Lonchura striata: one gene and its partners. The protein of the gene in region 3 purifies or fractionates together with the protein of the main gene of each other region. This does not show direct contact. Links are inferred from orthologs where the notes say so. Each region holds a gene or a part of one and is shown on either strand. Other genes may lie near its edges. The genes, in order: GTPBP4, KPNA3, MECP2 and YBX1.

The links.
Region 1: the proteins of MECP2 (region 3) and GTPBP4 purify together in Homo sapiens (affinity purification with mass spectrometry; 3 studies listed by BioGRID and IntAct, counting the BioPlex papers as one, with this or other methods). This does not show direct contact. The link is inferred for Lonchura striata from reciprocal best matches to the Homo sapiens genes MECP2 and GTPBP4.
Region 2: the proteins of MECP2 (region 3) and KPNA3 purify together in Homo sapiens (affinity purification with mass spectrometry; 3 studies listed by BioGRID and IntAct, counting the BioPlex papers as one, with this or other methods). This does not show direct contact. The link is inferred for Lonchura striata from reciprocal best matches to the Homo sapiens genes MECP2 and KPNA3.
Region 4: the proteins of MECP2 (region 3) and YBX1 purify together in Homo sapiens (affinity purification with western blotting; 3 studies listed by BioGRID, with this or other methods). This does not show direct contact. The link is inferred for Lonchura striata from reciprocal best matches to the Homo sapiens genes MECP2 and YBX1.

Annotation. Positions count from the first base shown.
Region 1 is NC_134603.1:146,564,593-146,572,397, forward strand, and holds the start of GTPBP4 (GTP-binding protein 4), read right to left. Parts: upstream 3,035-7,805; 5' UTR 2,979-3,034; coding exon 2,931-2,978; intron 2,313-2,930; coding exon 2,142-2,312; intron 995-2,141; coding exon 891-994; intron 815-890; coding exon 678-814; intron 126-677; coding exon 25-125; intron 1-24. UniProt on the Homo sapiens protein: Involved in the biogenesis of the 60S ribosomal subunit. Acts as a TP53 repressor, preventing TP53 stabilization and cell cycle arrest.
Region 2 is NC_134604.1:62,575,613-62,583,131, forward strand, and holds the start of KPNA3 (importin subunit alpha-4), read right to left. Parts: upstream 3,022-7,519; 5' UTR 2,915-3,021; coding exon 2,837-2,914; intron 1-2,836. UniProt on the Homo sapiens protein: Functions in nuclear protein import as an adapter protein for nuclear receptor KPNB1. Binds specifically and directly to substrates containing either a simple or bipartite NLS motif.
Region 3 is NC_134638.1:1,378,013-1,386,176, reverse strand, and holds the start of MECP2 (methyl-CpG-binding protein 2), read right to left. Parts: upstream 3,047-8,164; 5' UTR 3,038-3,046; coding exon 3,000-3,037; intron 1-2,999. UniProt on the Homo sapiens protein: Chromosomal protein that binds to methylated DNA. It can bind specifically to a single methyl-CpG pair. It is not influenced by sequences flanking the methyl-CpGs.
Region 4 is NC_134626.1:8,504,095-8,511,928, forward strand, and holds the start of YBX1 (Y-box-binding protein 1), read right to left. Parts: upstream 3,022-7,834; 5' UTR 2,859-3,021; coding exon 2,702-2,858; intron 2,380-2,701; coding exon 2,316-2,379; intron 1-2,315. UniProt on the Homo sapiens protein: DNA- and RNA-binding protein involved in various processes, such as translational repression, RNA stabilization, mRNA splicing, DNA repair and transcription regulation.

The DNA of each region.
Region 1 (7,805 bases), on a different chromosome or scaffold from region 3:
TCTATGGAAAAACCACTCACATACCTTATTTATAAAGCTGGATTTCCCAACATTTGGGTAGCCACACAGCAGAAGAGTTCGTGTATTGGGATCAATGGTTGGCAAACGAGACAAATGCTGTCGTACTGAAATATTAAAAATATTTTTTAAGTATCTCTGATAATTTAAGTTTTACTGAGATGGAATAACTATATATATCTGAATTGTCCTAAAAATCAGTAACACTGCTGATATAATATGATCATTCATAAAGGTATGTAATACCTTGAGGACTCCACAAGTATCTACGTACAACAAAAATAAAATTTAAGAAATATTTAAGAAATGAAGACCACTGTCTTACAGCTAGAATGACTCCACCAAATCAGGCAACACAACCTGAGACTAATAAGTTTGAAGTAAGGAGTATTTTTCACATATATGTTAGTGAAAAGAATGGTAAGTAAAAGCATGCCTGTGACTTCTAAACAAAGTTTTATCACTGTTAGCAATACCATAACACTTAATTAATATTCAAAGACAAAACTATTTTTTTACAAAATAAACACAAGTATTTGAGGATTTAAAAAGTGCTCCTGTGTTTCCTGGATCTGTAACCTCTACTAAACACATTCTTCTGCTACTAAGTGTAATAAACTTTATATCCAATGCATTTTTAGCCCGTATTTCACACCAACCTTGCTCCAAGTACTCCAGGCTCTGTTTCTGTCTCTTGATGATGGTGCACATGCGTCCCAGGGCCGCCCGTTTGAGCTGCTTGCAGCGGTACAGGGAGTCCCCGTACTTCATCAGCCGCACGTAGTCCTTGGCCACGCTGCGGGCACAGGAGAGCAGAGCTCAGCCACCAACCACCAGGCACAGGCAAAACCAGAGAAATCAACGCCCCTTACTTGTCAATCAGATTCTTGGCAATGTTGATCTGCCCCAAAGCCAACTTGTAGTGATCTTTGTCATACAGGACATTCATCAGGTCCGCGTAAAAAGGATGAATATCCTAAAACAAAAGCATGATGTTAAGTCTCATACTTTCTTACTCTATTTCTTGCACATAAATTTGTTTTGTTTTTTTTTTTTTCTCCAGTACAGCAACACAAATGACAGCAAAAGCCAAACAATTTTCATTACTATCATATGTCAGAAAAATAATCTGCTTGGTCATTAAATGCATGAATCTTAATTCCTCTGAATTTCTTCTGCAAACACATCTTTGACTTACTCATACAGAGTCTCCATTTCACCTTTTGCTTTCTGAAATACTTCCTAATACAACTTTGAAGTCTCTTTTTCCAAAGAAAAAACTGCAAGAAGCCAACAGAAATTGTCTCAAAGGATATTCATATTATAGCAGAAATACCGCAGTACTATAAATTCCTTTTCTTTTATGAGTGCTGCAATGAAATTCTATGCAAGACTGGACAAAAAGAGATTTTTTAATGCCCAAATAAATCCTCAACTTTTCAAGGAAGTGGCATCTCTGCTACAAATCTTTTAAGTACAGTATTTCAGCTAGTTATGTATTTACCTGAAGAAATTTCATCATGGTGATGAAAAAAAAACCCAGAAGATATTTCTGGGAATTCTGGAGCAACACTCACCGGATATGAAATTATCAAGAAAAACAATTTAATAAGTGAATAATTTCAGTCTGAGCAGAAAACTGCCCATAAAAAAGTCCCACAGGGAAATGAATACAGCTGCAGTTGTTGGAAGTTAATAATGTGTTTCTAACCCCACCCTTTATTGGGCCAAGGACAACATTTTATGTTGTCAAATTAACTCCTGAAGATGGAAAGCAATATGATATATTATATTTCTTGGTATTTCCTTGAGAAGACTAAATATAAGTACAATTTCCATATGCATACACACAGAAGAAATAAGAAGCAAGCAGACACAATATACTTAAAACCCCCCACATTCTACCTTAATTTAAAAGCAACTTTTGGTAAACATATCTGATCAGCTAAAAGCTTGTAAAATCCAGCTTTTAATGGCCATCCACTAGCACAACTTAGACTTCTGCTCTTCACAGGAGCATACTATTTTTGTAGTACAGGTTTTGCCTACTACTCACAGTAAAATCTGCTTTAAATCAGCCAAATTGTCTACACAGAGTAATCAGCAAATGAGAAAACACTTACATCTAATTTCGGGAAATCTGTTAAGATCTGAGTGAGTCTGTCATGGTAATTTTGTTGAGTATATTTGACTTTTCGCATATAAAAATGCCGAATCCGATGGATTTGATAATGTTTATGAATGACAGTTGGGGTCTTCCGCTGAGTCTTTGACAATGTCAAATCTATGAAGTCCTGCAATGGAGCAAACATGATTAATTACACGAAACGCCAAGTTCTTGTAAAGGCAACAATTTTCTTTTGGTGGAGGAGGCTGCTGACGAGTGAAGTGCATCCACAGTTTGAGAGGAATGCTTTAGGCACGCAGGAATAAGCAGTTTGCACCTTCCCTGCCCCGTTTCTATTCCAAGTTTCTATTCTGGCTGCCCCCGGCCCAGCCGCCCCAGCCAGACCGAGCCCTGCTTGGAGCTCCCTTCACCCTGCTGCATTTAAAAACCCTTCCTCCGACTGGTGGAGGACTTTATTTTGAAGCAAGACGCTTTCGGTATGAGGCAGGTTTGTAAAACGAGAGGGGTTATTGTGGGGGACAGCGCGGCGTTAAGGATCCGTGCTCAGGGACCCCCCCGGCACTGTACATGGTACGGGCCGCCGGCCGCAGCAGCACCGGCACGGGCGAGTCCACCACTCCCGCGGGAGGGGGAGGAGGCGAAGGCCGACACCACGCCGGCACCGCGGAAGGGGCAGGAGGGCAGCGCGGTCCTCGAAGCCGCCGAGCGGGAGGGACGGCCCGGTGCGGAGGGCACGGAGGGCAGAAGCAGGGGCCGGGGCAGGAACGTGGGAGCGCGGCCATACCTTGGCAGACGGAACCACCGTGATCTTCTTGAAGTTGTAGAGCGCCATGGCCGCCGCCACCGCCGCGCCACGCGCCGGAAAGGGAGCGCGCCCGGCGCTCTCGCGAGAGCTGCGCGCGCCCCGCCCGCCGGGAGCGGGAGGGAGAGGGAGGGGAGCGGGTGAGGGAGGGCGAGACAGAGGGAGTGTGGGAGGGGGAGCGTTGGGGCTGAGTCTGGCCTTGCCAGAGAAGCACTTGACCGCGAGCAGGGTTCTAGTGAAACAAACTTTAAGGAATTTAGGCTGTGTCCTGTTGTCCTGTCACTGGTTGCCTGGGATAAGAGGCCGAGCCCCTCCTTTCATGGAGCTGTAGTGAGCAATGAGGTCCCCCTGAGCCTCCTGTTCTCCAGCCTGAACACCCCCAGCTCCCTCAGCTGCTCCTCACAGAACATGTGCTCAGACCCTGCTCCAGCTCCATGCCCTTCTCTGGACACGATTCAGCACCTCAGTGTCTTGAATGACATATGGGATGTTTAGAGAAAGAATGAAATCTGTGAAGACCAATGGATTAATGTTGATAAGGGAGGAAAAGTTTGGGGAAATGGAGAGAAAAGCGAATAAAAGAGGCTGGTAGCACACACGGTCAGTAAAAATATCTGCTCATACCTTGCACATGCCATTACTACAGTTTGCCCTTTTTACTAAACTCCATTCCTGACCATTTTCCAGATTGAGGAGGCTTTCTGTTCTGTTCCTGTGAGTGAGAAGCCAAGTGCCTGCCACAGGAGAAGAGGCAGAGATCCATGGTGGCCGTGTTTCCAGGGTGCCAGGAATGGAGGGATCGTGGTACATGCACACTGTCAGTGTACATGTACATGCATAGACACACTCGACAGGCTGAGAAACTTGGGGCTGTTCAGAGGAGCTTGTGTGGAAACCTCACAGGAAACTTCCAGTGTCTAAAGGGGGCCTACAGCAAAGCCAGAGAGGGACTCTGTCAGTGAGTGATAGGACAAGGAGTAATGGGTACAAACTGAATAAAGGGGAAATTTAAGTTATATATTAGGGAGAAATTCCTCACAGTGATGAGACCCAGAACAGCTTGCCTAGAGAAGCTGTGGTTGCCCCAGCCCTGGCAGTGTTCAAGGCCAGGTTCGATGGGACTTTGAACAATCTGGTCTGGTGGAAGGTGTCTCTGCCTATGGCAGGGGGTTGGCATGAGATGATCTTTGAGGTCCCTTCCAACCCAAACCACTCTCTATGTGTGTGTGAGTGCAACTGGGAGAGCAGGGGCTCCCAGGGGCCAGAATGATCCAAGTGTCGAGTCTCTATGTGGGTGGACACATGCACAGAAATATCTGGACTGGGTGTGTGTGTTCCCGCTGCAGGTACATGCTCAGTCTTCCTTTCAGCTGGGTCTGTGGTCATGGGGCTGCAGCAGCCTCACCTCCTGATGAATTCTGACAAATTCCTGATGAATTCCTAACCCAAAACAAACACACTCTTACTTCCCTCTATTATTGCTTTTCCTTAATTTCTTTTTTTTCATAATAACTTTTAGTGACTTGTCTCATTCTTAATTGTAAATCCTTTCAGATAAAGACAAAGCATGAGTGAATTCTGGAGCAGTTTGTGAACTTGACTGTACCTTGTGCTCTAGGGTCTTTTGTGTATCTTCAGCAAACAAGAAATACAGATATCTAAGATACCTGAATGTAGGCACATCCTGCAGTTTGCATGTATATCCCTGTTTTCTACTCGACAGTAAGCTGGCATGCACATCAGTTTTAAATAAATTGCAAATTACTTGATACTCTTTGGGAGGCAAACTAGATTAAAAATTAGGAATTCCTTTGGCTTCCACACTAGTTTGGGTTTTTTATCTCCACACAAAACATGACATTATTCACTTGAGAGAATTTATTTATATGTTAATCTGTGATTGCACATTTTTCTACACTACTAGAATTTTAATGCATAACTCCTTTTACATTTCTTTTATTTAACTGTGCTCCTGGTTTTGCTGAAGTGCTCCAAACAGCTGTCCAGTGCAGTGGAAATTTGTAAGCTATTTGAAAAGTAAGAACTCATTTTATCAGCCAGATGATAGTTAATCCTTTCCAGTTAACTGTAGTAATGACTGCATGAGCACTACTGGATGATAAACATGCCCTTAGAACCATTCCTGTCTCTGGCCTCACAGTGGGGCTGCAGCTGCCCTGTTCTGAAGGGACATGCAGCTTCCTAAACATTTTGATATGACTACTTCAGTCTGTCTTCTTGAGGTGTTCTTGAGCAATGAGATTTGACTTCACACTTTATTTATACTGTATTTCGCAAATACGTCATTTTATGGAATAGAAGGAGCTTTTCTCTAAGTATATTCCCACATTTCCCCAGTTTCTGGAAAGATCCTTCCATGAGGTGGCCTGGGACATTCAGACTGCCCAGCAGCTGGAACCAGCAGTCTCAGCTTTCCCCAGTCCATGGCACTTTTACATGTGAGCCCCCAAGGTTCACATGCCCATTGCAGGCACTCCAGACTCACATGCAGACATGCTCTGTGCACCCCCTATGATGCTGATCCTCAATATTCAGATTATCCAGGAGCAGGCCCTGGCACCCCTGCTCTCACACTGCCTGTGCATTACTACTTTCTTGGACAGTTTTCAAGAGAACAAATTTCAAGACAAAATTTGGGTACCATTCTAGACATTGTGTCCTCTTGTTCCAGAAGTCAGGAGAAGTAAGACCATGTCAAGTTATGTTTCTTTTGGACCAGAAAATTCCTTATCCTAGCTGGTTTTCTACACTCAGACATTCTCATTCATATTTATGATATATTTCAGGCATGTAACACTTATTCTCTATTTCATGTTTTAAACACCATTCTAGTAGACTGTAATTCATATCAATTTGAAATTGAAAAACACAAAATTATTCATGTGCATTGTGCAAGGGTAACTAATGGCACCAGCAAGGTTCATGTGCTGTGCCAATCCACCAGAGAGGAACTTCCAAAAACAGGCACAAGAACGGACAAGGCCCAGGGAGCCACCCAAGTATTCCTCTGTAAGAAATGCTTCTGCAGAACACATGCAGGAATTTGCATTATTACTAGATATGGCATTACAGAATCAATCAGGTTGGAAAAGGCCTCTGAGACCATGGAATCCAACCTTATGCCCCAACATCACCATGTCAACCACACCACAGCAGTGAGTGACACATCCAGTCTTCTCTTAAACACCTCCAGGGACAGTGACCCCACCACGTCCCTGGACAGCCCGTTCCAATGTCTAATCACCCTTTCTGTGAAGAAATTCCTCCTAATGTCCAACCTAAACCTCAACCACGAGTACAACTTGTGGCCATGGCCTCTCCTCCAGTTGCTGGTTGTCTGAGAAGAGACCGACCTGGCTACAGTCTCCTTTTGGGCAGTTGTAGAGAGTGAGAAGGTCACCCTTGAGCCTCCTGTTGTTTAGTGTCGTTATAGGACACGAAATGAGTGCACAGAAGCTTGGTAAGTTCAGAAGAGAAAAAGAGCCAAATTTATTTCTGACCTCACAATATATAGAATCCCAAAAGTGACAGTGGATTGGAGGATGAAACTGCCACCTCTCCAACCACACTGGTCAAACCAAGAGTCCATCAATTCTCTCCTCCTACAAAGAAGAATGCAAAATAATCATTATTTACATGAACAGTGCGTGAGAACTCCAGTAGAAATATGTAAACATCAGAAGGCATGGAAAGCTTTTAAAAGAGCTTTAAAACTTTCAAAAGAACTATAAAAGAAATCTTAACACTTTTAAAAATCAAGGCACCAGTTCAGGCTAAAAACTCCCAGCTCCCTCAGCTGTTCCTTATACGACTTGTGCTGCAGACCCTTCCCCAGCGTCCTTTCTCTCCTCCTGTTTCCATAACAGAAGAAAGCTTTTCAGAGGGGTTGTTTGATAAGCTGTTGGTCTGGCAGCAATATGCAGTCTGCCTCACCTTTTGATTTCAGCAGCTTAAAAGCCAACTAACAGGCTAGTCAGAAAATGGTATTTCTGGAAGCAATTTTGCTTCAGTTTAATTCCTTGGTTTTGAAAATCTCCATATCAGTAGCCAAGCTGAAGAAAAATATTCAGTCCCACTCTGGTCCACACAATGGAAAGGCATGGCCACAAACAGACCTGGCAGCTTCCCTAACCTTTTTGCTCTGTAGATTGGATGCAAGAGGTCAGGGCCAAGAGACACTGGTAGATGCCAGGTACAAAAAACTACTGCTTCTTCTCTAGCAGCTCCTCCAGGCTTCATCAGACAGCATCAATCTCTGAACTACCAGCCCAGAAGTATCACATTAAATACAGAAAATAAAGCTGTAAACAGGCAACAGTGCTTACACTTACCTGCAGTATCTGAAATATCATGAGCAAGATTTTATTTTGAAACAGGGCCATTTCGTATCAGCACACAAAAGGCACATCACACAAAGGGAACTTCCAAAATTGTAATATTAAGATTCAGACTCTCTTACTAAATTATTATTACAAAGGGCATGCATGGTGATGGATCAAAGTGCTTTGGAGAGCGACAATACTGCCCCAGAAGAATAATGCCATCTAATGCATCTCAGGAACATGGCTGAGGCACACTCAGGAATACACTCAGGAATACAGTATTATTAGCTGTAGTTACTGTGTAATCCTGGGAAAACTTTGAAATTGTTTAAGGAAGTACAATAAAGACCCACCACGTTTTGCCTTTCCCAGCTGCTCCTCTTTTGCTTGTTGAGGGAGGAGACAGCTTTACCAGAATGGAGGTGGGGAGTATGTCCTTTTGTTCCATGATTTGCCAGGGCAGCATTACAGAGAATAGCAATGGCAAGTGGAGAATTTCCTCTGTGTCTGGCAG
Region 2 (7,519 bases), on a different chromosome or scaffold from region 3:
CCCATCTTTTGTTTCCCTTAAAGTTGCATTAAGAAAAAGCAAAGACAATTATATGTCCCAGCAAACCCAGTAATAAAATACAGGTTAAGTACAAATTAAAGGAGTAAGTATTTTGGTCTGCCAGAAGAGTCTGTTCCCGGAGGGGATCAATAGCAACTCTTAAGTATTTAATAGCAGTCAAAGGAAGATTACTAAAGAATGTGTTCAAGCTTGATGTGTTCAAAGGCAATGACTGTCTCCAGGCAGAAGGTGACTCAAGTGCAACTGTTTTCAAACTGAAGCTGAGACAGTACAGCTTTGAGTATTTTAAATTTTCCAAAGGATATAATCTAGATATCAGATCATGATTTATCATGTCATCATTCTAAATACTTCATTTCTCTCTGGTGGAACTTGACAAAATAAGAAGATGTAGATCAATGCCAATGAAAGCACTGTTGCCTCCTGATGTCCAAAGATGAGTAGAGAAAAGTGGAGGCAGGATCTCTATGTCAAACTCTTTATCGCAGTACAGGGAGCAAACCAAGTGTATTTAATTGCTGACAGTTGAGAATCAGGTATATTCGATTTAGAAAACAAATACTTTGTGAAGAGCCAGTAACTTTGACTACATAGAGACAATCTGCGCAATCAGCAGGCCAGTCTGTGTACCAGTTCCTCAAGAGAGGCACAGTACCTAATGGCAATTATATAGCTCTGCTGTGCTCATTCGTTCTCCACTCTAATCTTAACTTACATTGTTTTACTTTTAGAGGCTTAAGTTAGATAAAGTTTACTCCAGAAGGGTACTTCTAACATGAACTTTTAAATACCCAAATCAGAAAAGAGTCAAAAAGGATGTTTAGTAGAAAATATCAGACATTTAACACAAATTAAACTGTTTTGAAAGACACTGAAACATTTCCAATCTTTAACAGTCCTTTACATGAAACTAAATTTCATTTTAGCATATCTCCATGGGTATACAACTTTAAAACACCTCTGCATTTTATCTACTTGTTAGTGCAAACGAAGTATGTTACCTAGGTTTTAACCCTTTTCAAAAGCAGATATGACAGCTTTAACTACATTACCATTATTGGAGCTCTGCACCAGTCTTAGGCTCAGCCACAGAAAGGAAATCAGTCAGTACACTGGAAGGCTGGGATATACTTCTCCATAACAGCAAATACACTACTCCAAAATAATAACTCCTCTTCAGGGGGAAATGAGAGCTAAGCTACCTTAGCTGGTCTGGCAGAAGTAATCTCAGCAAAGCTTAGGCAGTCCATTCTCTCCTTCCTCCCCATGGAGGCAGATATTTAATTCCCCTCATCTTGAGCGTGCTATAATATAAGCAAGCGTGGATGACAGATCAGCTCACACTAGGCATGAACATACCTAACCTTTCCCTGTTTAGAGCTCTGATGGATTCAGGCCAGTTACTGAGAAAGCAGCAACAAAGCCAGTAACCAATACGGAGGGATGAGACAAGGACAAAATGAATGAGGAGCAGCAGGAAGGGCCTCACTGGATGAGAAGAGGAAAAAGAAATGCACCACGCCCCCTCCTTACCCTGAGAAGCTACTGCTAAACAGAAGGATGGGCCATTTTTAGTTACTTTCTAACGTTTACTAATGTTAGCCAGAAGTGTTGGAAGTTATCATACTCCTTACATGCAAGGTTTTCTGTAAGAAAGACTCGCTGATGCAGTCTTAAATAAAAATTAAAGATTGCTTTACACTGCGAATGTCATCTTAAAGACATTGCTGCTGCTAAGCCTGACCTGCATAAAATTGTCTCCACCCAAACAATAGCAGCAGAACTGTGAATTCTGCCAAAATACAGAATGTGCTTTCAGAGCACTAAAATTCCAGTCTACTGATTACGGAGTAAAGTGATAAAATCAACAGAACCATGGAAAACACTCTCAGGTGAAGTCAAAGTAATCCGACACATATTTAGGTTTTCACTCCAGCGAATCCTAAGCCGATTTCAATTCTAGCCTGATTTCAGAGCTCCCTCCCCCTTCCTTTCCTATTACAGAAACTTAAATACGAGATTTGGGATTTCCTCTTTCAGTTGCGAGTAGAAATGAAGATGTGTCCGATAATGACACGCAGATTCGAAGACCTCTGGAACATCTCTGGGGACTAAGCTCCCAATAACCCTGAAACTCTCAAATTCGGGGGAGTAAGCTACTACCCCATTAGTCTTACCGAGTACCGCACTCCTTCCCCATTTAGACGCAGATGCCCAGGAAACCATTACTGACGTGCCTACCAGCATTTGAAAATAAAGTATAAAAACTGAAAAGAAGAAAGGGGTTGATACAAGAAACAAAACGGGCCAGCGCAGCACACCGCAATCAGGCTCACCAGAGCGTGGGAGCGGTCCCCGGCACGGCAGGGGCCTCCGTGCGCGGCAGCGGCACCGCGGGCCGAGGGCAGGGCAGCCCCGAGCTCCGGCGGAAGGGCCGCCACCGCCCCGGGGGGGCGGCACAAAAGGCGGCCGGCACCATTGTCCGGGGCCCCATCCGAGCGCCGGGCGGGGGAAGGCGGCGAGACGCGGAGGCCAGCGGCGTGGAGCGGGGAGCGCGGCGGGAAGAGACGGCGCCGCATCCCGCCGGCCCTGCCCGGGGCCCGCGGGCGGCCCGGCCGCGCCAACCCTTCCCCCGCCGCCGCCTCCGCCCCCCGCCGGCCGCGCCCGCCCGCATGACGGCGAAGAAAAACCCCCCCAGGCGTTCCCCCCGCCGCCTCCTCCCGCCGCGAGCGCGGCCCAGCCCGGCCCGGCCCCTCCTCCGCCGGCCGCTGGCGGAGGCCGGGCCCGGCCGGGGCCCCGCCGGCCCCACACGCACCTCCGCGTCGCGGCCCTTGTTCTTGAAGCTCTTGATGCGGTGGCTCTCCAGGCCGGTGGCGGCGGCGTTCTCGGCCATGGCGGCTCCTGCGAGGCGGCTCCGGCGGCTCCCGGCGGCGGCTCGCGCGAGGGGCGGAGGGAAGCGGGACGCGCTCCGTGACGAGCGCCAAGGGGGAAACGGGCGGGGAGGGGGGGGGCCGCTGGCGCGCGCGCGCCGTTGCTGAGTGACTGGGAGAGGGGCGGGGGGGCGGGGAACGGGCGGTGCGAGCGCACGTGACGCGAAGGGCGGGCGGACGCTGTCCAATCGCGGCGCGGCGGCGCGGCTCTGGTCCCGCCCCCGCCCCGCGCGGCATTCTGGGGCGGGTAGTGCCAGCAGGCTGCGGCTCCGCACGTGGAGCGGCGGACCGGCCGCGGGGCTCCAGCTCGACGCCGGCGGGAGAGCCGAGGGCCTAACGATACTGTGCACACAGAATCGCAGAACAGGTCAGGTTGGAAGGCACTACAGTGGGATATCTGGTCCGATCTCCCTGCTCAAGCAGGGCGAGCTGACAGCGCATGGCGCAGGATCGTGTCCAAATGGTTCTTGATATCTCCAGTAAAGGAGACTCCACAGTCTTCTCTCCAGGTAAATGTTCCAATGTATGGTCACTCACACAGTAAAGAAGTTTTTTGTCATGTTCAGGTGGAGCTTCCTGTGCATCAGTTTCTGCCCATTGCCTCTTGTCCTATTGCTCAGCACCACCAAGCAGATCCATGCTCTTGGCACCCTCTCTTCACTCACTCATAGACACTGATGAGATGTCTCAGTCATCTCTTCTCAAGGCTGAACAGGGCCAGCTCCCTCAGCCTTTCAACACAAAAGAGATGCTCCAATCCCTTATTAATCTCTGTAGCTCTTCACTGGACCTGCTCCAGGAGCTCCGTGTGTCTCTTGTGCTGAGGAGCCCAGAACTGGACACAGCACCCCAGCAGGTGCCTCAGCAGGGCTGAGTAGAAGGGCAGGATCACCTCCTTTGTCCTGCTGGCAATGCTCTTCCTAATGCATTGCAGGATCCCACTGGTCTTGTTAGCTGTGGGATTTTCCCCACAATGCACCCTGGAGTGACCCCACTGGCAAGGCTCATGCACAAAGTGGCCTCAGGCAGCTCTGCCAGCCAAGGCTGTGTTGTGGGTCTGCTCTGCACCTCCCTCTGCTCCTCATGACTGCAGTAACATTGCTGCATGCAGCCTGGGAAATGCTGCACAGCAAGCATCTAAGAAATCCAGGTGTTTTGGAAGCTTTGAGTCCCCATTGGTGAGTCTGCCATGAAAGCAAGCCCTGCCTGGGAAAAACAAATCCAGCACTTTGCCAACGTACCCTTCATGCCACACTTCTATGTGGTAGCTGGAGCTACATACCAGCTTCAATGCAGAATACAAAGGGGCTCTGCCAGCCCAACAAATTGTCCCCAACCTGTCAAAATTATTGCAGCACGACTCCCTCTGGGAGCATTTGGACAGACTGCAGACAGACCCAGCACCTCCAGATTGATGGTAGCCTGTCCCTGGGGTCCCCTGTCGGGCGGCTCTCCAGTGGTGGAGATCCCGGGGAGCAGGGACGATGGAATAAAGAAATCTCCAGCCGAAGGCGGGTTGGCTTCGAAGCAGCTTTAATCTCTGAGGGCTAAGTGTCAGGGACTGAGCGAAGGGGTACAGGTAGACAGCCTCACAGAAAGGGAGCTGGCTCCGAGAGCCTCGAACAGGGGGCGGGGTAGAGATTATGTTAGGGAGCAAGTAGGAGGGACATGGTACAAAGGATCCAATAGGAATAGGGCTAGGAGGAGGAGTTGGGATGAGATAATGGGGATGCAACAAATGGGAATAAGGGAAGGGGGTGGTAACAGGGGAAGAACCAATTGTAGACAAAGAACTTAAGAACATTCCAGAATAAAGGGTAAGTACAAAAGTGATTGACATAAAGGTGGGCATAACTGAAGGTTACATAACAAGAGGGGAGTGGTAGGTTTGATGGGCAGCTCGGAGGCGGGGATCTACACAACAGCCTCCTCCCAAGGCATATTCGGGGGGGCTTTCCCCAAGTCCCCTACCACATCTCCCCCTTCTTTATTAATTAAATAAACATTCCCTAAGGTCTTAATTAACATCCTCTTAAAAATTGCTAGGGCAACTAAAATGATAAGGACAATAACTAAAATCCATAAAAGTCCTCGGAGGATAGAGGCTGCCCATCCCGGGACGCCCCATTGAGAAAGCAACTTGGTGGCAGGGTCCACAGCCGAGGTTTCAGTTTGTAGATGTTGGACTTGTGTCTGGATACGCTGGATGCTGGCTTGGATGGATTTGCTTCTCGATGTTAGGTTGAAGCAGCACAGTCCTTCAAAGTCCTCGCAGCTGTGGCCATGGGCTAACAGCAAAAAGTCTATCGCCGCCCGATTTTGGAGGGTGGCCTGCCTGGTGGTCTGTTCGTCCGCCAAGAGGTCGGAGAGGGCGGCGGACGATGCGTTGGCATGCTTTGCTATCCAGCACTCCAGGTGAGAAAGCTCACCGAGGGCTTTAGCGACCGCATACCATGGGAGAAAGATGGAAGCGGCAACCCTCTTTGTTTTTCCCCAATTATAAATTTTGTCATCGCAATTTTGGTCGAATTGGTCATAGGATCTTTTTTGTCTGGCCAATTGTCTCTCTTTCTTCCAATCCATAATTTGGGTTTTGTTTGGAGTGAGGGTAGTAAGCTTGCCAAGGCTACATGGTCCTCCCTGGAGCCGAGATGGGATGCCTGACCATACTCTGTCCCCACAGACAAGAAACATCCCCCGGGGTAACGACTTGGGACGACTGGAGGAGACAGAAATAATTGGACTTGTGTAGTTACACCAAGTAGCCGAATTATATTTTTTGTTCAATGGTGTAACGTCTTTTCTATATGTGTTTTTGGCCAAGTCAATTCCATGCCAATTCTGACTTGGCCTCTTAAAATAAAACTTTACACAATAGGTGGCAGGAGAGGACCCTAACAGATCCAATTCTTGGGGCTCCTCTTTCGAATTTGGTAGTATTTTCGTCCACGCGTCCCAAGTGTCGACCGGGTTAGGTCTCCTGCCCGTGGTTCGGAGCAGGTCAGAGTTGGAAACCGGCCAATCATCGGCTACCAGAGGGACCCCCACCAGGCATGTGGACAACGGGTTGTCCACATTGCCCATGGCCAAGCAAAAGTTCTCTTGCTGGAGGGACTTTGCCAGCGTTACCCAGACGTTCTCCTTCGGCTGTGGCACAATCCAGCCGTCCGCCGCCTGCAGCCACATGATGGTAAGGAGCGTGAGGCTTGCGGCCAGCCGGATACGTCGGGGCGTCCACTCTCGTAGGTCGTTGGTGGATGTCTTTTAGGCAGCCATCTCTAGTGAACTAAAGTGCAAAGAGAAAATATTCAGGAAAAATATGGTATTCTTCCCCAACTCCCCTAACTCCCCCTTTTCATTTTTAAGTAAAAAATTAGATATTTAAGTGGGGTAGGAGCGACGGGTGAGGTAAGAGGGAAGAGGAAAAGGGATAGAGGGAGACGGGGTGTTAGGGAGGTCGTCAGCTGAAGGTGGTGCATAAAGCCGGGTGATGAGTGTTCTGCAAACGATGTTAGGGTACTGTTTTGTCGTCTTTCGTTTCCTCCTCTTCCAAGCGGCCGCGGTGTCTGGCGGCACCGGAGTGGGTGCTGTTGAAGTGTGCATTGGTGTGGGGTCCAGATCGTTGGAGCTTTCTAGGAATGGTTTTACACATCTCGCTGGAATCCATTTCGGGCCCTGTCCTGTGGAAATACAAGCATACCCTCGCCCCCAAGTGATGAGCGGGTATGGGCCGCTCACCTGCTTGGACTCCGGATCTCTCACGAGTACCGGTGGGCGTTCTTTCAGCTGGGCTCTTGTGTTATTATAGAAATGTCGGAGGACTGGTGGATTTGGTTCTTTTTCTGAGCAATTTAGGAAGTTTAAAACATAAAGTGCTTTACAGACCCTCTCTATTGGGGTCATTGCGAGTGCTGAGTCTTGTTGCTGTTCTAGCAACTGTTTTATATTTTTGTGAGTCCTCTCGATAATAGCTTGGCCCGTGGGATTGTGAGGAATGCCGGTAGTATGGGCAATCCCCCATTGTTGTAGGAATTGTTCAAAACGGGCAGATGTGAACCCAGGCCCATTATCTGTCTTAATAGCTTTTGGGACCCCTAGAGTCGCGAATGCCATATATAGATGTTTGATTGAATCTTTGGTCTTCTCTCCCGTATGGAGAGAAGCAAAAACAGCACCTGAGAAGGTGTCTACTGACACGTGAATATATTTCAGCCTGCCAAAAGGGCTGTAATGAGTGATATCCGTTTGCCACAGTTCCAGAGCCCCGAGTCCTCGGGGATTGACCCCCGTTGCCATCGATGGCAGGGCAAATGTCTGGCAACTGGAGCATGTGGTGACAATTGACCTTGCCTGTGCATGTGATATTTTAAATTGGCGAGCGAGGGCCGGCGCGTTCTGATGGAAAAACGCGTGGCTGAGCCTCGCTTGAGCAAAAGTGTCAGGTAAGTTTGTGGAAAGTGCCGGTGCAGTCAAAGTAAGGGGCATGGCAAGTTGGTCCGCTCTCCGGTTACCCTCGGCGACAGGCCCTGGCAGGTCTGTGTGGGCTCTGACGTGCATTACATGATACA
Region 3 (8,164 bases):
ACCGGACCCCCGTGTCGGTGTCACCGGGGACGGGACCCTCGTTAGGGGGGGATTTGGGGTGGGGTGGGACCCCCGTCCTCGGTGTCACCGCTGCCACCGGCGCGGGGGTCCCGTCCTGGCGAGGAAACACACACAGGTGAGGCTCGGGGAGGGGCGGGACCCCCACCGTGGGGTCGGTCATGGGGAGGGGGATGCAGCCCCCCAGGACCCCCTCCCCAGCGCTGGGGGTCCCCACGGTGACACCCTGGACATCAGGAGAGCCCCCCGACCCCTCCCCACCGAGAGGGGAGCACGGCCGGGACCCCCCAGCCCCATCCTGGGGCTAAAAGTCACAAAAACGGCACCAAAAAAATTTGGGAAGGGGCGTGGGAATGGCGGGATGAGGGGGACTGGGGACAAGGGGTGACCCCCAGGGACTCCCCGACATGTCCCATGGTCGGGGGGCTGAGGTGGCCCTGGGTGGTCTCTTGGTGGCCCTGGGGGGTCCCTGGGAGGTCCCAGAGGGGTCTGGGGTGGCCCTGGTGGCCCCAGGGTTGAGGATCCCAAGGGGGTCTTGGGGTGGGCACAACCCCGGGCACAGCAAAGGTGGGCGTGAGACCCCAGATTTTGGGGTGTTCCGGGGAAATTTGGATAATTCTGGCAACATTTGGGAAATTTAGGGATGATTTGTGGGATTTCGGGGCGTGAGGGCAGTTTTAGGGCAATTCCAGGTGGGATTTGGGGGAATTTGGGGGGACTCGGAGGGGCCGCGGGAGCGCGGCTGTTTTGGGGGAATTTGAGGCGTTTTTGGGAGCAGCATGAGGGGAACATTTGAAGCAACTTTGAGGCGATTCTGGGTATTTTGGGGCTGTTGTATTTTGGGGGAATTCAGGGTATTTTGGGGTAACTCGGGGAGTTTGGGGGCGCTGCATGAGTGCAGCAATTTGGGGAAATTTGGGGGATTTTTGGGTAAATGGAGTGTTTGGGGTGTGCTGCCTGAGCAGCGTTTTGGGCAATTTTGGGTATTTTGGGGTGGCGCACGAGCAGAAAATTTTGGAGCAATTCAGGGGATTTTAGGGTAAATCGAGAGGATTTGGGACACGGCGTGAGGAGCAGTTTGGGGCAATTTTGGGTATTTTGGGGCGCAGCATTTTGGGATAATTCAGGGGGTTTGGGGGCGCAGCGTGAACAGCGGTTTGGGGCGTTTTCAGGTATTTTGGGGTGCATCATTTTGGGGCAGTTTGGGATAATTTGGGGCATCACGTGCATGCAATAATTTGAGGCAGTTTTGGGGTGCAGCATTTTGGGGAAATTCCGGTTATTTTGGGGTAACCCGGGGTGTTTTGGGGCACCACGTGAGTGCGAAAGTTCGGGGCAAATTTGGGTATTTTGGGGCGCAGCGCAGGCGTAACATTTTGGGGTGACTCGGGGTGTTTTGGGGCGACTCGGGGTGGGTTTCGGGGTGACTCTGGAGTGGGTTTTGGGGTGACTTCAGGAGGGTTTTGGGGTGACTTCGGGGTGGGTTTTGGGGTGACTTCGGGAGGGTTTTGGGGTGACTTCAGGAGGGTTTTGGGGTGACTCCGGGGTGGGTTTCGGGGTGACTTCAGGAGGGTTTGGGGGTGACTTCGGTGTGGGTTTCGGGGTGACTTCTCTGGGGTGGGTTTTGGGGTGACTTCAAGAGGGTTTTGGGGTGACTTCAGGAGGGTTTTGGGGTGACTTCGGGGTGGGTTTTGGGGTGACTCCGGGGTGGGTTTCGGGGTGACTTCAGGGTGGGTTTCGGGGTGACTCCGGGGTGGGTTTTGGGGTGACTTCAGGAGGGTTTTGGGGTGACTCCGGGGTGGGTTTTGGGGTGACTTCAGGAGGGTTTCGGGGTGACTTCGGGGTGGGTTTCAGGGTGACTTCAGGAGGGTTTTTGGGTGACTTCGGGGTGGGTTTTGGGGTGACTCCGGGGTGGGTTTCGGGGTGACTTCAGGGTGGGTTTCGGGGTGACTCCGGGGTGGGTTTTGGGGTGACTTCAGGAGGGTTTTGGGGTGACTCCGGGGTGGGTTTTGGGGTGACTTCAGGAGGGTTTCGGGGTGACTTCGGGGTGGGTTTCAGGGTGACTTCAGGAGGGTTTTTGGGTGACTTCGGGGTGGGTTTTGGGGTGACTTCAGGAGGGTTTCGGGGTGACTTCGGGGTGGGTTTTGGGGTGACTTCAGGAGGGTTTCGGGGTGACTCCGGGGTGGGTTTTGGGGTGACTTCGGGGGGGGTGTCGGGCTAACTCGGGGAGTCACGGGGTGATTTAGGGGGGTTTGGGGTAACTCTGGAAATCCGGGGTGACTCGCGGGGGGTTCGGGGTGGATTTTGGGGCGACTCGGGAAGGGTTTGGGGCGGTTTTTTTGGGTTTTTTTTGCGCGCGGGACGGGCCGGGGGGGTGTGTCCCCTTGTGGGGGGGGGGGTGGGCGGGGGTCCCTGCGAGAGATGGGGGGTCCCCAAATCCCACCCTGACGGGATGGCGACGCACACAGGATTTTGGGGAAGGGGTGTATTTTGGGGGGGGGGGGGTGTCCCCAAATTTCACAGCGGCGCTGAGGATGGGGTTGGAGGGGGGGGGCCGCATTTTGTGGGGCTGGCGGAGGAAAGGGAAGGGAGGTCCCCCCGTGGCGGAGGGTCCCGAGGAAGGCTCGGGGGGTCCCACCGAGGGTTCCCCGGAGCCGGGGGGCTCCTCCCGCCCCCCGGGGGGGCCGCGGCCGCTCGTGACGCACTCGCGGCGCTCGCAGCCCCCCCCCAGCCCTCACACACACACACACACCCCCCCCGCCCGCCATCCCCGGTTCCCGCCCGGCCCGTGAGGGGAAGGAAAAGGGGATGTGGGGGGGGGGGGGGGGCGTGAGGGAGAGAGGAGGGGGGGGGCGTCGCCCCGTGCGCGCGCGCGCGCGAGACCCCCCCCCCCCCCCCCCCACCGGCTCTCCGCTCCCTCACAGCTTTCCCCAACAGCCGCCGCGGCCCCCCCCCGGCCCCGCCGCCCCCTCCTCACTCACAGCCGCCCCTCGTCGCCGCTCGGCGCCGCCGCCGCCATTTTCTTCGCAGCGAAGAACCCGCGGGGGGGGGGGGGGGGGGGAAGCTGAGGGGGGGGGCCGGGAGGGGGGGGGCGGGAGGGGGGGGGGGCGGCCCGGACCGAGCGGCGACGGGAACCCGGAGCGGCGCTGGCCCCGCCCCTCCGCCCGGCGCTGATTGGCGGAGCGCACCGTCGGTCAAGGCGTCGGCGCGCGGCGATTGGGCGGCGGGGCCGCCCTCCGGGGGCGGGGCCGGGGCGCTCGCGGCGGGCCGTTGGAATTGGCGGGAAGCGCTGTCAGTTACGGGGGGCGGGGTCGGCGGAGCGCGCGCGGCCGCTCATTGGGCCCCGCGCCGGGACGCCGGGTGCTGATTGGCTGTAGGGGACGTCGGTCAAGAGACGGCGGAGGGGGCGTGGCCTGGGCCCCCCCGCGCTGTGAAGGGTTTGAAATCCAACGGCCGTAACGGTCCGTGAGGCCACGCCCCCGGCCACGCCCCCGCGAGGCCACGCCCCGACCACGCCCCGCCCGCCCCGGGTCCCGCTGCCCCAGCACGGGGAGAACTGGGACCAGTATGGGGAGAACTGGGACCAGTACGGGGCAACTGGGACCAGGACGGGGAGAACTGGGACCAGTATGGGAATAACTGGGACCAGTACAGGGAGAACTGGGACCAGTATGGGAATAACTGGGACCAGTACGGGGAGAACTGGGACCAGTACAGGGAGAACTGGGACCAGTACGGGACAACTGGGACCAGTACAGGGAGAACTGGGACCAGTATGGGGAGAACTGGGACCAGTACGGGACAACTGGGACCAGTACGGGGAGAACTGGGACCAGTACGGGGAGAACTGGGACCAGTATGGGAATAACTGGGACCAGTACGGGACAACTGGGACCAGTACAGGGAGAACTGGGACCAGTATGGGGAGAACTGGGACCAGTATGGGAATAACTGGGACCAGTACGGGGAGAACTGGGACCAGTATGGGGAGAGCTGGGACCAGTACGGGGCAACTGGGACCAGTACGGGAATAACTGGGACCAGTACGGGGCAACTGGGACCAGTATGGGAATAACTGGGACCAGTACGGGAATAACTGGGACCAGTACGGGGAGAACTGGGACCAGTATGGGGCAACTGGGACCAGTAGGGGGAGAACTGGGACCAGTATGGGAATAACTGGGACTAGTACGGGACAACTGGGACCAGTACGGGGAGAACTGGGACCAGTACGGGGAGAACTGGGACCAGTATGGGGCAACTGGGACCAGTACGGGGCAACTGGGACCAGTACGGGGAGAACTGGGACCAGTATGGGAATAACTGGGACCAGTACGGGGAGAACTCGGACCAGTATGGGGAGAACTGGGACCAGTATGGGAATAACTGGGACCAGTATGGGGCAACTGGGACCAGTACGGGGAGAACTGGGACCAGTATGGGAATAACTGGGACCAGTACGGGGAGAACTCGGACCAGTATGGGGAGAACTGGGACCAGTATGGGAATAACTGGGACCAGTATGGGGCAACTGGGACCAGTACGGGGAGAACTGGGACCAGTACGGGGCAACTGGGACCAGTACGGGGAGAACTGGGACCAGTATGGGAATAACTGGGACCAGTACGGGGAGAACTGGGACCAGTACGGGGAGAACTGGGACCAGTATGGGGACAACTGGGACCAGTACGGGACAACTGGGACCAGTACGGGGAGAACTGGGACCAGTACGGGGCAACTGGGACCAGTATGGGAATAACTGGGACCAGTATGGGAATAACTGGGACCAGTACGGGACAACTGGGACCAGTACGGGGAGAACTGGGACCAGTATGGGGCAACTGGGACCAGTACGGGGAGAACTGGGACCAGTACGGGGCAACTGGGACCAGTACGGGGAGAACTGGGACCAGTATGGGAATAACTGGGACCAGTACGGGGAGAACTCGGACCAGTATGGGGAGAACTGGGACCAGTATGGGAATAACTGGGACCAGTATGGGGCAACTGGGACCAGTATGGGAATAACTGGGACCAGTACGGGACAACTGGGACCAGTATGGGGAGAACTGGGACCAGTATGGGGCAACTGGGACCAGTACGGGGAGAACTGGGACCAGTATGGGGAGAACTGGGACCAGTACGGGACAACTGGGACCAGTATGGGGAGAACTGGGACCAGTACGGGACAACTGGGACCAGCATGGGGCAACTGGGACCAGTACGGGGCAACTGGGACCAGTACGGGGCAACTGGGACCAGTACGGGAATAACTGGGACCAGTACGGGGAGAACTGGGACCAGTATGGGAATAACTGGGACCAGTATGGGAATAACTGGGACCAGTACGGGACAACTGGGACCAGTACGGGGACAACTAGGACCAGTACGGGAATAACTGGGACCAGTACGGGGACAACTGGGACCAGTACGGGGCAACTGGGACCAGTACGGGGACAACTAGGACCAGTATGGGAATAACTGGGACCAGTACGGGACAACTGGGACCAGTATGGGAATAACTGGGACCAGTACGGGGAGAGCTGGGACCAGCACAGGGAGAACTGGGACCAGTACGGGGCAACTGGGACCAGTACGGGGAGAACTGGGACCAGTACGGGAATAACTGGGACCAGTATGGGAATAACTGGGACCAGTACGGGACAACTGGGACCAGTATGGGGCAACTGGGACCAGTACGGGGACAACTAGGACCAGTATGGGAATAACTGGGACCAGTACAGGGAGAGCTGGGACCAGTATGGGAATAACTGGGACTAGTACGGGACAACTGGGACCAGTACGGGGAGAACTGGGACCAGTACGGGGAGAACTGGGACCAGTATGGGGCAACTGGGACCAGTACGGGGACAAGTGGGACCAGTACGGGACATCAGGGACCAGTATGGGGATCGTGGCCACCAGTCCTGGACCAGTACAGGCACCACAGACTCCAGTGCAGGACCAGTATGGGGACAACTGAGACGAGTACAAGACCAGTAGAGGCACCAGTGCCACCAGTATGGCACCAGTATGGGCACTGCAGCCACCAGTAAAGAACCAGTATGGCACCAGTATGGGCACTGCAGCCACCAATAAAACCAGTATGGCACCAGTATGGGCACTGCAGCCACCAGTACGGGGACCAGTATGGAACCAGTATGGGCACTGCAGCCACCAGTAAAGAACCAGTATGGCACCAGTATGGGCACTGCAGCCACCAGTATGGAGACCAGTATGGAACCAGTATGGGCACTGCAGCCACCAGTAAAGAACCAGTATGGCACCAGTATGGGCACTGCAGCCACCAGTAAAACCAGTATGGCACCAGTATGGGCACTGCAGCCACCAGTATGGGGACCAGTATGGCACCAGTATGGGCACTGCAGCCACCAGTAAAGAACCAGTATGGCACCAGTATGGGCACTGCAGCCACCAGTATGGGGACCAGTATGGCACCAGTATGGGCACTGCAGCCACCAATAAAACCAGTATGGCACCAGTATGGGCACTGCAGCCACCAGTACGGAGACCAGTATGGAACCAGTATGGGCACTGCAGCCACCAGTAAAGAACCAGTATGGCACCAGTATGGGCACTGCAGCCACCAGTAAAGAACCAGTATGCCACCAGTATGGGCACTGCAGCCACCAGTATGGGGACCAGTATGGCACCAGTATGGGCACTGCAGCCACCAATAAAACCAGTATGGCACCAGTATGGGCACTGCAGCCACCAGTAAAGAACCAGTATGGCACCAGTATGGGCACTGCAGCCACCAGTACGGAGACCAGTATGGAACCAGTATGGGCACTGCAGCCACCAGTAAAGAACCAGTATGGCACCAGTATGGGCACTGCAGCCACCAGTACGGAGACCAGTATGGAACCAGTATGGGCACTGCAGCCACCAGTAAAGAACCAGTATGGAACCAGTATGGGCACTGCAGCCACCAGTAAAACCAGTATGGCACCAGTATGGGCACTGCAGCCACCAGTAAAGAACCAGTATGGCACCAGTATGGGCACTGCAGCCACCAGTACGGAGACCAGTATGGAACCAGTATGGGCACTGCAGCCACCAGTAAAGAACCAGTATGGCACCAGTATGGGCACTGCAGCCACCAGTACGGAGACCAGTATGGAACCAGTATGGGCACTGCAGCCACCAGTAAAACCAGTATGGAACCAGTATGGGCACTGCAGCCACCAGTAAAACCAGTATGGCAAGGACGGCCACCAGTCCGGCCACTGTGGCCACCAGTTTGCTCACGGTGCCCCCAGTCCGGAGCGGGGTGGGGGAGGGCGGGGGATGAGCGGGGATGGAGCTCTAATCCCCCCTCCCCCACCCCCGGCCCCTCCCGACCCCCCCCCCGGACCACCCCCCAACCTCCCCGACCCCCTCCCCAATATGGGACCCCCTCCCAAACCCCCTCTGGACACCCCCAAACCCCCCCGGACCCCCCATCCCCCCCAGTCCATGGGTTCCTCTCCCCTCCCCCCAACTTTTTTCCACCCCCCCTCCCCGTTTCGGGGGGTCCCACCCCCGCCCCCTCCCCCCCCCCGGATCGGGGCCACCTCCGGGGGGATTGTCCCTAATCCCGGCCACCCGTGACCCCCCCGGGATTAGGGGGACACCTGGGGGGGGTCCCCAGAGGGACCCTGGGACATGTAGTCCCCCCCTTGGGGGGGGGGGTGGAGGGCAAGGAACCCCGCAAATGTCAGCCGGGACCGCCCAAAATCCCCCGGGACCCCCCAAATGATCCCCGGGACCGCCCAAATTCCCCCGGGACCCCCCAAATGTCAGCCGGGACCGCCCAAAATCCCCCGGGACCCCCCAAATGTCAGCCGGGACCACCCAAAATCCCCCGGGACCCCCCCAAATGTCAGCCGGGACTGCCCAAAATCCCCCGGGATCCCCCAAATGATCCCCGGGACCACCCAAAATCCCCCGGGACCCCCCAAATGATCCCCGGGACCACCCAAAATCCCCCGGGACCGCCCAAATGATCCCCGGGACCACCCAAAATCCCCCGGGACCCCCCAAATGATCCCCGGGACCGCCCAAAATCCCCCGGGACCACCCAAATGTCATCCGGGACCACGCAAAATCCCCCGGGACCCCGCAAATGTCAGCCGGGACCGCC
Region 4 (7,834 bases), on a different chromosome or scaffold from region 3:
TTGAAATTGATGCCTACAGACCTCAAAGGTTACTGGGAAAAGGCAGCCGAGCAGAGCCATTCTGATATCATCTCCAAAGCCCCAAGAATGCAGCACTCAGAAGCCCTTGCAAAGCCAAAGCTGAAAGACTCTTCTTCAAAACACAATGTCCAAAATGCTGAAAACCTTCGCAAGAGAATAGTAGCATGTTTCTAGTAAAAATGCTGAGCACCTTCCTTCATCATCAGCTAAAAAAACAGTGGTAGGAAGTGCTCATCCACAAATGTGGATACCTTGTACTTTTGCCCAGGTTGAATTTTGGACAACCAGACTGGATACTTATTTTTAAAATCCATTTGCAAAGCAGTTTCCATTCAAGAGGACATCAGAGTTTTGGCTCGACAACTGACGAGATCACACAGGGCTCACTGAATCAAGCCATTTTACAGCCCCACGCCATTGGCCACATCACTCCCAATGCTGTTTTCCAGCAAGCACATCTGGAAGCAGCAAGCATGCTGCCGTGTGGATGATGGAACAACAGGACCATCACTTTTTCAAAGAAAATTTGGAAGGGTACAAGAGGAACACCCATTCTAAAGGCCAAACAATTTAACTGATCTTTGCACTATGCCACTCTTCCACTCACATCTTTTATCCACTAAAATATATTAGAGAAAGGGAAATAGATAAGCAGACAAAGAAGATGCCAAGTCCAGCAGGGCACCAAATACCATGCCAGACAGTGCAACTCCAGTTATGGTACAGACCAAGCCAGCGGATTTGGCACATCAACTTGTTATTTTGGCAAACATGAGAAACAACCATCAAAGACCCAGAATTCAAACTCCTTCCTATTTTGTAACAGAATCACACTTCTAACATTAAAAAGACTCAGAAAATACCTGAAGTGAGCATGCACATACCTCAAAGCTCATTTCAGTTCCATAGTCTCATTTTATTTGAAAGCAGACCTGGCTAAAGCAAAGCCATGCAAGGGCAGGAGCTCCTGCACAGCTTCCCTGCAGCCAGGTAAAGATTTCAGAGCTGAGGAAATGTCCTCCCCTTCAGTTACCAGCCTCTAATCTCTTGATAATATGAGATCATGCTGGGTTTCTCATTACAAATGGCAACCTCAGGGATTAAACAGCTGCCAAATTAATGACTGGGGAAGCTACTTGGATGTCTCAACTAGCTGCTGCTGCTGCTTCCTTGCTTGACTGACACCACAGAACATTTTCACTGCTGAGGGAACAGGAAAAGCCTTCCCTCGAGGTGGGGTTTGTGGCTGGGACTTGGGAGGCATTTCCAAGGCCAGAGACAACAGCTCTCAGCACTGGTGACTCCACAACACTGGGAACTGAAGCATGGCATGATGAACAATGCAAACTGGACAGAATGGGAGGCAGGTTTGTAAAGCTGCAGACACAGAACTAATTCAGGAGTTTAACAATTTAGACTAGTTCATAAAGTAACAGGCAGTTCCAAAAGGCAGTGTTTAAACCAAACATAAACAAAAGTTCCAATAATAACACTATACTTGCTGGCCTAAAGGGGATTTCCCAGTACACAGCCTCATTCTGAGACTGGGGAGTTTAAGTACCACAAAATAAGGGAAACAGCTCTAGCAACAGTCCAGGGAGCCCCCCTCCAGCCAATGGAGCCAAGAATTGCCCATTTTCTAAAAACTTGTTTGCAGAGCACTTCCTCTCCTTGACAGACCTACTTCAGGTACCTACATACTTCTCAAAGCGTTCAAATTAGTCTTTCACATCAACTACTGTCACAAAAAGAATCTTCTAGGCACTTGTTTCATGAGACCAGTCTGTGCACTTGAGTGTGGCACTAGAATGTGTGAACTATGCTCCTTTTGCTCATTTTGCCATATGCTGACAGTGTCCTCATTAGAGTGTGTTTAAACTACCAAGTGCTAAAAGCAATTTTTACTTGCATTGACTGAACTTTACGCAGGAGTTTAAATGTGTGCTGACAGCCAGTGCACTTTTATATCTTTAAGGGGGGAAAAAAACCCCAAAACACCATAAAGGGATAGACCATAATGTAAGACACATCGCCATGGAAACAGACTCGCTTCGAGAGCGCAGCTCTTGCCCAGGGTTAAAGGACTCAAAAGCCAACCCCAAGGAAGCCCCAAGCAGGACAGAAACCCCGGGGTGGAGAAAGGGCGAATCGTACCAGCTCCTTCTACCAAGAAGGGCGAGAGGCGGCAAAGGCACCACCACTCCCCGCCCCCGCCTGTCACCCGCGGGACACAAGTGCCGCGCCCCCCTCCCCGGGGCTCCCCGTGACAAGGCCCGCCGCGTCTGGGCACTCACCTGTTGATGAAGCCGTAACCGTTCCTCACGTTGAACCATTTCACTGTTCCCAAAACCTTCGTTGCTGCGGGAAGGGGCAGAGTGAAGAGGGGAAGGAGGGGAGGGAGCGGCACGTCAGGGGCACGTGGCAGGGCGCGCGCACAAAGGCCCCGCGTGGCGGACATCTTGCGCTGCCCCGCCCCCACCCGGCACGCGGGGCCGGCGGCGCGCGGGGCGGGGAGGGAGAGGGGGGCGACTAACGGCCGCCGCGCGAGCGAGGACACGAGCCGGGGGCGCGCACAGCCCCTCCGGGCGGAAGGGAGCGCGCGCCAACCTCAGCCATGGAGGGAGAGAGGCAGTGGGATCGGAGCTTCCCACCCCACCCCGGGACCCCAAGCTGCCCTCACCGATGACCTTCTTGTCCCCGCCAGCGGGAGGTGCCGCCGAGGCCAGGCCGCTGCCCCCGTTCCCGGTCCCACCGTTTGGCTTGGAGTCGGCGGGGGCGGCGGGGGCCGCCGGGGGGACGGGGGCGGCGGGCGGCTGGGTCTCGGCCTCGCTGCTCATGGCGGCGGCTGTTCGGTGCGGACGGTGGTGGTGACTGCTGTTTGCGCCGCCTCCCGCGGTGTGATGGTGACTGAGGCCGGCCGTGGGGGCGGGGGGGGGGCTGCTCCCTGCTCCGGGCTCGCTGAGCTCCGCTCTCCGCTCCCGATACCGATCGAACTGGCCACAATGGCGGCGCGCACCGGTTAGTCACCCCGCGCGCCCCGCCCGCACGCGCCGCGATTCGCCATCCGGCCCGCCCGTTAAACGGAGAGCGACCCCATTGGCCTTTCCCCAACCCGCCACCGCCCCCCACCGAAAACCTATTGGCGACGACACCTGCCTTTCCCCAAGAGCGCGCGCCATTGGTTGCTTCGCCCGTGGGTGCCAAGCCAGCTTTTCTCACCGGGCGACCCGGAGTCCCCGCCCCCGCCCCTGATTGGCCCTTCCGGCCGCCGCTCCCGCCCCCACCGGGCACGATCGGGGAAGTGCGCGCGACCATGCGCCGGTGGCTTCTGTCCGGCGCTGTCCCCGACCCCGCTTCCGCTCGCTGGAAGACCCAGGGCAGAGCGATCTTGCGGGCGGCTCCCGGCCTAGCGCGCCGGGGGCGCCCTCTCCCGTTAATGATTGCCAGAAGGGCCCGGGAGCGTTAAATACCAGTGGGAAACGACGGATTTGGAGCTGTCAGAGCTCCCCAGTCCATGTCCGGATGTGCAGTAACAGCACTGACCTGACCCGCGGGGAATCAGCTTTTCCCTAGACATCGCATCCTTCCCTCCCTGGAAGGGCGGGAGCAGCTTCTCACCCTGAGCCCTTCTACCCACTCAGGCTGTCGGAAAAGCATTAGTGCTGGGTCCTTTACCCTGCTAGAGTCTTTCTCCAGCCACCATCTCTCAGCACCTCCTTACCTCTATGGATTCACCTTACAGCGGCCTGGAGGTACCCGACATCTCTTGCAGGGTTCCCCAAAGGGAAGGTCCCGAGGAAACCCCTGTCCTTGTCCAACAAGTTAATTTTCCTTAGTTGAAGAATGTGGTTGGTGGCCACATTTCTTGCTTTGGTCATGTCATTCGTCTGACATGGGAGGAGAGAAAGGTCATCAGCAACCACTCAGAAGGTCTCTGGGAGATGACCCACCACTCCACCATTTTTGCAAGCAACACGTATCCCCTTGGGATCAGCCCTTTCAGCACTGCACACAAATCACCATCCAGTTCACTATCCCAGTTCCCTACATTCCACCCTGGCCAGGTGAAGGACTCGAATGAGGCCAAGCTCAACCCACCACATCAACCCACTAGGAACATTGGTCTCATCCTGCTCCCTTGGGAACTCTTCCACCTGATCTTCAACTCAGTTAATGAAGGGAAGGGCTTGAAAACAATAACACAGTCCCACAGGATCAGCACCAGGATGATGACCTGGATAAAAAAGCTAGAATGATGTCAAAATTGGATGCTGCTTAGTGACTGCCATAGTTTTGTATGAGAAAAAAAAAAAAACTATTTAAAAAGGATTAAATGAACTAAAAATTTTAAATTTCATTTCTTTACATAATCAGTTTAAAAAAAGTTATAAAATAAAGAAAAAATATTCTAAAGATTTTAATTCTTACTATCTTTTTCTTTTAATTAGTGTTAATAAAATTTTCTTTATACCTTTTAAAATTTTAAGCCTACTTTACCATTCTCCTAATCCTATCTTCCTATCTCACAAGAAGAAATAAATACATAAGTGATTAGCCAACACTAAAACTCATCACACTCTTCAACACATTAATTAAAAAATCTCAAAATTAAAGAAATCTTAAATTAACAAACCAAAACCACTTCAGTGAGTCACCTGAAAAATAATCTTACTATAGAATGCAAATTAGGGAATACACCAGGCAGCCACCCATGAGGAAGAAAACTCCAGGGAGGAAATGTGTGGGAATGTCAGAGCCATGCACCTACAGCCAAAACTGTGGACCCCAATGATGTCTTTGTGGAGTAACACTGTGAAATCCAAAGGCAACTCAGACCCTCAAGGAAATGCACAGGCCACCAGAAATACCATCTCCAGCTGCAGCATCCACAGTTGAAGGAAGCTGACAGGAGTTCCATCATCTCCTCTACAGGACATTCCAGGATTTGCTACATACAACACAAGGGTGACACCATCATGGAGGAATTAAAACAAAAAATGTGGTTTTTGAGAAGACTTTCAGCCAGCAGGTAACATTCCACGTTTAAGGGAAATATAATGGGATGTAATTAGCCATTGTAATAACAAAGAGGTAGTAATGGATTTGCCACTCTTAATTAATCTGGGGAAGCTCTGTGACCCCTTTATGCAGGAAGTGAGGCCAGGTGGTGGCAGTGGTATAAATACATCAGGCTGAAAAAGTGCTGCTAATCCTGGACCAGAAATAAACTTGTTTCCCTGGTGAAAAAATGGTGAATTTTTTGAATGGTGAATACCAGCAGCCAGAAGTGCAAACCTCAGCACAGCACTGCCAGGCATAGCTCCTTGAGGCACCTGAGCCAGCCTGTTGAGAATCTTCAACCCTCCTCTCACAGGAGAGCCCTCTGCAAAGCATGTGTGGGGCTGAGGAAGAAAGGACTGGGGTGCTTGTGCTTCTTTTATCACCTGATGTTCTGCAGGTACAAAGTGACATGCCTCAGGCTGGAGAGAAGTGAGTGTTCTCAGCTGCTGTGCAATTCTAGGAATGAGGACGTAGGAATCCTGACAGCCAGAGCCTTCTCCTAGGATTTCAAAGAGCCATGAGAGAAAAGAGCACAGCTAAGCCTGTGGGAACTTCCTCCAGCCTATCAGTGCTGGGCAAGGCTCAGGTCAGGCAGAGAGTGCACCCTATACCCACTGCCCAGGCACAGTTGGGATCTTTCCACATGGGATGAATCACCTGCATGTGACAGAACAGACTCTGTCCTAACTTTCATCAGGTCCTTTACCTTTAAACAGCTGGATGAGAAGTTCCTGCTGGAACCCAGCACTGTGTAGGGTGCTGGCTTGTCCCCTGCCAGGAGGGTGAGCTCCCAGCCCTGTTCTGGAAGAAAGGCAGCCTCAGCTGCACTCTCCTCACTAAACAGGACAAGCAGCCCCAATTTCATTCCTATAGCATCACCATTCTGTTTTTCCCAAGCCTGCTCCAACACCCTTGTAAGTACTCAGGTGAACCCCTCCTCCAACATATGTGGCACATAACAGCTCGATGACTGAAAGACCTGTTTACATCAGAACTCTCCTCAGAGTGTAGCACTCACGGTGATGGAATCTGTGCTATACCAATTCCTCAGTTCTGGAGATTCCCAAGATGTGCCAACAACCTTTCTGCCAGCCAGGCAGTTGTAGTTACCTGCCGAGTGAAAGAGCTGGTGCAGCACAGCTCTACCAAGCTCCTTTCACCCCTTCTTTCAATACCAATCAGTAAATGTTCCTGACTAACTGGCCAGGGACAATGCATGTTGCTGAAGATGTTACAGCCCTTTTCACCTAGAGAAGAATCCATTCCCACTAATGCTAATTGATGTGCACTGCACATGTTTAAAAATTTTTTAATTACATTTCAAAATGTAAAAAAAAAAAAAAAAAAAAAAAAAAAAAAAAAAAAAAAAGCCCATTATTAAATAATTTCAGGAGAACATCAAGAGGATGGATCTGGCCTGTGGAGAAGTCTGGGCAGTGGGTGAGCTGGCTGGAACTGGAATTGCTTGGAGCCAGCACAGGTCTAATCACCAGTAAAGGAACACTGAAAGGAAGAAGAAACATGTAAGTCTAAATGCTGGACAACCATTCCCAACAGATCCTACAACAGCCAGGCTGTGCAGTAATACTGGGGGCCACACAGCAATTTTAAATGCATGCCAGTTGCTACACACACAAGCTTCACCAGCTTTCATCATCCAGAGAACTCAGGAATCCTCCTGGATCTGCCTGTCAGGCAACTGCATCTACTTCTGAAGTTAAAAGCAAGAGTGCCTGTTTCTCCCAGCTGATTTTCAAGGATCTTGACAAGTAGCTGATATAGCTTTCTGACGTCAGGCAATGCAAAAGCTGTTCTTGTTCCCAGTCAGATGAGAGACATGAGAGTGCAGCAAGGCTGTTCCTAAGACCTGTTAGGGAAATAAGTAAGCTGGCACCAGCATTGCACCTATGAATGTGAAGCTTCCAGGCTCAAGCTGGGGATTGCCAGGGACACAGTACTCCAAACTAAAATGGTAAGAAAGTCTGGGATGGAGTACAAATCTAAAGGAGACCTGACCCTTCAACACAGCTCTGCAAGAAAAGAGACAGCCTTACTAGCAGACTTTTTTCAAAAGCCTGTAAATGCCACCAGAAGAACCAGGGGAATGGAAGAATGATTACATTCCCTGTTGAAACTTCATCAAATAGCAAGAGCTCCCAAGAGTTTGAAGTGCTGCAGGTCTCTAAGACTTTATTACAAAAGAGGGAACATTTTTGCAATTCCAGTTGCCTTTGGATATAATTTAATGGAAGGTCAAAAATTGTGAGTATTGTGAGTATAAAATTGTGAGTCCAAACTGCCTCCTGAAATTTGGAAAAAATCAGCAACCAAAAGGCTAATACAGCAGATTTTTGACAAGCTGCAGCCCAACACACTGAAATCTAGACAGATTTAAATACCTGTAGATTTTACAGTAAATTGAGCTAACAAATGGAGACAGAACACTTACTGTATGTTAGCCTGAGACTATTGGTTTAACCAATATGAAACCTAAGTAACAGTAAATAGTGAAAACATCTCTTTTCAGATAGAGGGAGTGGTACTTTTTTCAAGTCAAGGTAAGACTATGCAAAATGGTAACTCCTTGGTCCTTCAGTAGTGTCAGTCCTACAGCGGTACTGAGCAAGGAGGCTCAAAAGTCCTCCCTTTCTCTTCTCCTTTTATTGATCCCTGCCTGTCCCACCCATGGATAGTCTGATTTTTGTAGTTTTTTGGAAGTTCTCCAATCTGCAGGTCAAAGTGAGGCTTCCCA